Linked DNA regions of Saccharomyces cerevisiae S288C. Changing the gene in region 2 together with the main gene of any one other region gives a genetic interaction. Each region holds a gene or a part of one and is shown on either strand. Other genes may lie near its edges.

Region 1 (3,655 bases), on a different chromosome or scaffold from region 2:
AACCTTCAACAAACGCCTTTATCCCAATTGCAAAACATCAATTCCAACACTTCACAATTAAGCAAAGATGAACTAAAAAAGGTCTTGGAGACTATTTCTTGCATTGGTATTATTGTGCGTGAAGGAAAAGATGCGTCTGGCAAGCCATTAGAAGACGAGTATTACTATGATGTTGAAAACGATGATAGCGACGAGAGAAAGATTTTGTATAATTCGTTAAAAGGCAGGAGCCGATTAAGGTCGTGCAGGAAGAAACATAAACAGTATTTCTGGAAGAGGCCGACCAAATAACCTCAAAGACATTCTATATTTCAACCTTATTTCCATAGCATAGTCATATTACCACGTGGAGCATCATGAAAAAAACTGGTAAAACTCGTCAAAAAGTTCTAAAAACATAAAGTAATATTTTCTATATATTTCCGTTGAAGGAGCTAATACATAATCCATACAAAATAGATCATTATGCCTAGATGTTATTCTATTGGTGTTTGTCAAGTTTAAGAATGTTTAAAACTTTTCTATTGTATCATTTTCTAGTAATTACATGACTCGAGTTGAGCGAATCAAACGATAAGGCATCGTCTTCTCAATATAGGGAGGTGATCGGGACCAGCCTAGCATAAAGAAAGGGATTGAAATAATTATAAAAATCAAAATAAAACATTTATTGTCTAAATGTTTAAAATTCCAATTTCTTTGGTTTTTCCCATGAGTACTCTTGATTAGTGAAGTGACCATAAGAAGCGGTTGGTAAGTAAATTGGTCTAGCCAAATCTAATTCCTTTACTAACACACCTGGTCTCAAGTCGAAGTTCTTCTTAATAATTTCAATGATTTCGTCATCTGATTTTGTAGCTGTACCATAGGTGTCCACATGTAAAGACAATGGTTCAGCAATACCAATAGCATATGAAAATTGGACTTGGACTCTCTTACACAAACCAGCGGCAACTAGAGACTTGGCAACCCATCTAGCAGCGTAAGCAGCGGAACGATCGACCTTGGAATAGTCCTTACCGGAGAAGGCACCACCACCGACGGATGAGGCACCACCGTAAGCGTCGACAATAATCTTTCTACCGGTCAAACCAGCGTCACCTTGAGGACCACCGATGACGAATCTACCGGATGGTTGGATGAAATATTTGGTATTTTCGTCTAACATATCCTTTGGTATGACCTTTTCAACAATATCTTTTTGAAGTTGAGTTCTCAAGTCAGCGGTGGAAATTTCATCAGCATGTTGAGCAGAAATAACAACGGTATCTATCCTCTTTGGAACCCATCTACCATTGTCGTCTTCGTATTCGACAGTGACTTGAGTCTTTGTGTCTGGTCTCAACCATGGGAGAGAACCATCTCTTCTAGCATCTGCCATAGCCATGTTCAATTTGTGAGCCAAAAGAATGGTCAATGGTAACCCTTCTGGAGTTTCGTCTGTAGCGTAACCAAACATTATACCTTGGTCACCAGCACCTAAGTCTTCTAAGCTCTTTTCATAGTGCAGACCTTGAGCGATATCTGGAGATTGTTGTTCGATAGCTACTAAAACATTACATGTCTTGTAGTCGAAACCCTTGGCAGAATCGTCATAACCAATCTTCTTGATGGTATCTCTTACTATTTGTTGGTAGTCAAGTCTAGCTTTGGTGGTAATTTCACCGAAAACCATAATCATACCAGTTTTGGCAGCTGTTTCACAGGCAACCTTGGAGAATGGATCTTGTTCTAAACAAGCGTCCAAAATAGCATCAGAAACTTGGTCACAAATCTTGTCTGGGTGACCTTCACCGACGGATTCAGAGGTAAATAAGAAAGTTTTGCTCTTGGACATGATTATGTTTGTATATTGTCGTAAATACTGGATATATTGAAGACAGTTATGTTTTTTAAACCTTTTAAAAAAAGAAAAAAGGGGCAGAAGCAAGATTCTCGAAAATACTTTGTAGAAAGGACAGATATAACCTCCTTCTTATACGCCTCAAGACGACAGATGACTACCAAAAAGAAATCAAGATCTCCTTGCATATGAAGATTTGACGTCGTTTACAAGAGCTATCTCAGAAATTTCATCGGTATTTTGGCTTCGGTTAATATCTGGCGTGGACCCATCGGTGGAAAAACGCCACAGTTTTCAAGCTCAATTATAGTCACGTGGGTAGAAATATTACACTGCACCGCAAGAAAGTACGACCAGATGAATCACATGTGAAGATGTTAACAAGTTTACATACTTTTTGATCAGGTAAGCTATGCATAATGTCTTAGTTTTAGTTATGTAAAGAAATGCAAACTTTTAGTGCATATTTTATCTTATATAATAGAGCAAAGCTCGCCAGTGCTCCAGTTGTTACCTGAGAATGAAGCTTGATCGGCTTTTATTCTTTCCTGATAGGACTCTGTAAGTGTTACTAAACACTAACCGGTGAAGGAAGTATGTCTCTTTTCGCCAAGTTTGTAAATGTCCATTTCCAGCAACAATAAATGACTAAAAATGCTAGAACAGCTCCAGAGACAACATCGTACCAATGATGTCTGTGATCGATAACCCTTGAAACCATTACTACTAGAGCTAATAAAGGGCACCAAATGCAACTTCTTGTATTGCGTGTGGTGAAAACCCTTTGCCAAAGATATGTAAAGCCCATGGTACTGACTATGAAACTTGAATGTCCGCTTGGAGTGCTTTTTAAGCCTTCGTATAGAATCCATTTGTTAGTCTGCTTGCAAATGTCCAAGCCAAAAACCAAAGAATCTGAATCACTCATCTTTTGGAGGTCAGGTATACATCTATCAACAAAGTCAGGCCTCAAGTTTCCTATAATCAACTTTAAGGCGCCTGTTAGGGCAGCATTTATGCTTATAATCAGCATCAGACATAGAATGCTAGTATGCATGAAGTGAAAATCGTTCGAGATTCCGTCCGGCCTCTCTCTTAGTCTCTTTACTCTATTCTTCTTCAGTAAGTCCTTGTCAAACATGCAGGTCCAGAAGACGACCATGTTACTCAGTCCAACACTCAAAATCAAACATTCTAGTGGGCCCACGAGTTCGTTAGGTACATAACGTTTTGATATACTGGGGTCATCAAGACTAAATTCGATGTTTTGGCCCCTAGGTACCAGGGATATCTCCGAATAGAGGAATAATATCGTACATAGACCAATTATCATGTACTGAAAGTAGTATAGCTTAAAATACTCCTTATGTTTCTCATCCGCCATGACAGAGATCATCCTTGGTAGAATATGACGAGTTTCCTTAGGCGTTGATGTAGGAGTTTCTCACTCTTGAAAGCAGTAAAATCACTTCAAAGAATGGCTTTCTTTCTTCCCTTAAAGACTATAAGTTGTCAGGTTTCACGTGGCAACTACAAGAAAAAAAATTCTTACGCGTGAACCAAAACAAAAATTATCAACCAATACATGTCGACAAATAATGAATTAGAGCAATAGCCACGATAACAGACCTTGATTAAATGTAAACTACATATAAGTTTATAAGGGTTGGTTGATTCCATTATTTTTTGTTTTTTATATAAAGCCTATGAAAAATAAATGGAAGCGGCTGTTAGAATATAAAATAGAAGTTGAAACAACAAAAATGTAAGAAAGTTGCCAACAATAAATCTCAAACTTGAAAGTGTGGATCG
Region 2 (3,059 bases):
TTGCCTGCGGAAATCAAGGTGAAGATGCATGGTAATATCGTTATCGATTTACTTATTAGTTTAGTTCCTATTCTGGGAAGTGTTTTTGCATGGTTGCACGCATGTTCCACGAGAAACGCAGCTATAGTTTACAATTTTGTTGGAAAAAGGGCATTGGAAAGAAAGCAAGCGGAGCTCATGCATCAAAAAGAAGAAAATGAGAAACATTCCAATGCCAATACTGCACCTCCAGTAGTTGGTGGCAACAAAAATGTGAATGGAAACAGAAATAATAGTAAAATGTATAACAGACCGCCTGTGACAGCTCCACCTGCACCAGCATACACGCGCAGTACTAACGGTCGCCCCCAAAGAGGTTACAGGTGAACAAACCGGCCACGGTAAGGCTACATTCTTATCAACAAATATGGGCAATCAAAAACTTATAATGTAAATTTTATTTTTTATCGTAAACATGTATTTAAGAAGTAATATAAAGGATGTTTGACATGATCATTTTATATATGCATACACGTTATTGAAGTTATATGGTCGTTAAATCATTAAAAGGCCCGTTTCTTTGAAATATGCTAACGGAATCAAACCGGTCGGGTCGGTTAGATGTGGTATTGTTGCAAATCAGAAAGCCTTCTTTCATTGTTTTGGGAGTTAGAGCCCCTTCTGGTCTTGTTGAAGACTGTCTTAATTTCGCCAGAATCGATTAAGTCATTAATCTCATCGCCAGGCTTGCCCCAATTGCCTTTCCCATAGCCTCCTCTCTTGACGTGGTTGGGAGACTCCCCAAAGTTGCCGTTATGGGTGAAATACTTTGGGTTAGACTTTGCTTCGTGGACTGTCCATTTGCTAGTTCTGGTCATGTTTGAATTGTGTTTGTGTTAGAAATTTGTGTGCTTTAATGTTATGTTATAATGAAATCTTATTAGATTTATTTAACGTTTTTGCTGTGCTTATAATAAACATTACATAATAAAAGGAGTAGAAGAAAGTGGTAGAGAGGAGTACAAATCTACCTGCCAGAACTCTCTCCTTATATATATTTCCAGTGGTGTCTGGATTACCTACCTCAAGCCATACCATATCCATACCATATCCATAAACGCCTACAAAATTTCTACCCCAATCCAGCAGCTTCTATCACTATCTCGTATACCACCATAGGCACCACCACTGTTTGTGTAAATTTACTCCTGAGGGGGGGGTGGCTCAACACGGTGTAGGCCTTCTTCCCGCACAATCCGATGAAACCCCACAATCGCCTCCGTCTCTTCCACTGTGCACGGCGCTAGCTCAACATCTTCCCCGCCACATTTACTGTGGCAAAGAAGGTGCATAATCTAAAAAAACATACGTATGAGAATGGAAAGGGCAAGATAATATCGGACCGTAGTGAGTCACTTGCTTTTGGTATTGCAACCAACTGCCGCCCCTCTTCCCGCTCTTGCACCAAAACGCTAAATGCCCATTGTGATGGCTCATCCACCCTCACGACGAAGTAAGACCCGGGGCACAAGAAAATACGAGATCATAACAGTTCGAGTCCGTTTATTGTGTGCGGTTTTGGTACGCTTTTTCGTGAGGTGTACTACCATTCATGAGAGTCGTTTTAGGAGCTGTCATGAAAGATATGTATCTTGTTGATGAACTGTAAAAATTTGCAGAAATTGCGCTATTCCGTTTATTTCATTGTCGATTCGGTGTTAATATTAGGGGTACAAAATATACTAGAAGTTCTCCCTCGAGGATATAGGAATGCGCAAATGGGCATTTGATGTGACACAAAATTTGGACAATATAACGATTCATTTTTAGATCGTTGTTCAACCGTCCCAGTGGCCGAGTGGTTAAGGCGATGCCTGCTATTTCCTCAGAAAAGCAATTAGGCATTGGGTTTTACCTGCGCAGGTTCGAATCCTGTCTGTGACGCTTTTTTTAATTTCTTTACTCCATGACAAAAGCGGATAAAAATTCCCGCATTCGGCGTAAAAAAATCCGGTTTTTTTTTTAGCACTCGCTGTTTTTGCCTCTACCGGGTGAAAAATGACGATGAAGACGGCTGGAATTGCGCTGCATCCGCTTACGTAGGATAGAACACCTACAAAGATTTACGAACTTTATTGCTCGAAGATTCGCTATCCATATCTTTTTAGTTTCCCCCCATTTCACAATGGGATACCGTTGTTTTTTCTGTAGGTACGCTTTCTCATAGTTAATAGAGTCAGTAATTCATTTCATTTTTTGCAGAAAGGAATTTCTTCACCTAATTTAGAATTTCATCAACATTTATTGTATCTGCATGGTATAACAAATTAGAAAAATTTGGAAGGGAAAAAAAAACTGTTGCGTCAATTACTTATACCAGGGATAGAAAAAAAAAAAGGAAACATGGATCCCACAAGAGCTCCGGATTTCAAACCGCCATCTGCAGACGAGGAATTGATTCCTCCACCCGACCCGGAATCTAAAATTCCCAAATCTATTCCAATTATTCCATACGTCTTAGCCGATGCGAATTCCTCTATAGATGCACCTTTTAATATTAAGAGGAAGAAAAAGCATCCTAAGCATCATCATCACCATCATCACAGTCGTAAAGAAGGCAATGATAAAAAACATCAGCATATTCCATTGAACCAAGACGACTTTCAACCACTTTCCGCAGAAGTGTCTTCCGAAGATGATGACGCGGATTTTAGATCCAAGGAGAGATACGGTTCAGATTCAACCACAGAATCAGAAACTAGAGGTGTTCAGAAATATCAGATTGCTGATTTAGAAGAAGTTCCACATGGAATCGTTCGTCAAGCAAGAACCTTGGAAGACTACGAATTCCCCTCACACAGATTATCGAAAAAATTACTGGATCCAAATAAACTGCCGTTAGTAATAGTAGCATGTGGGTCTTTTTCACCAATCACCTACTTGCATCTAAGAATGTTTGAAATGGCTTTAGATGCAATCTCTGAACAAACAAGGTTTGAAGTCATAGGTGGATATTACTCCCCTGTTAGTGATAACTATCAAAAGCAAGGCTTGGCCCCATCCTACCATAGAGTACGTAT

Evidence for each region.
Region 1: mutations in TMA10 (region 2) and SAM2 together harm fitness more than expected from each alone (negative genetic interaction), as found in Saccharomyces cerevisiae (one large-scale study listed by BioGRID).

The regions. Positions count from the first base shown.
Region 1 is NC_001136.10:1,452,628-1,456,282, forward strand, and holds SAM2 (methionine adenosyltransferase SAM2), read right to left. Parts: upstream 1,838-3,655; coding exon 683-1,837; downstream 1-682. Other genes in the region: PLM2 (Plm2p), read left to right, coding at 1-291; phosphatidate phosphatase LPP1, read right to left, coding at 2,415-3,239. UniProt on the Saccharomyces cerevisiae protein: Catalyzes the formation of S-adenosylmethionine from methionine and ATP. The reaction comprises two steps that are both catalyzed by the same enzyme: formation of S-adenosylmethionine (AdoMet) and triphosphate, and subsequent hydrolysis of the triphosphate.
Region 2 is NC_001144.5:782,531-785,589, forward strand, and holds TMA10 (Tma10p), read right to left. Parts: upstream 858-3,059; coding exon 597-857; downstream 1-596. Other genes in the region: YLR326W (uncharacterized protein), read left to right, coding at 1-366; nicotinamide-nucleotide adenylyltransferase NMA1, read left to right, coding at 2,383-3,059. UniProt on the Saccharomyces cerevisiae protein: May be involved in inhibition of the reverse ATPase reaction of mitochondrial F(1)F(0)-type ATP synthase.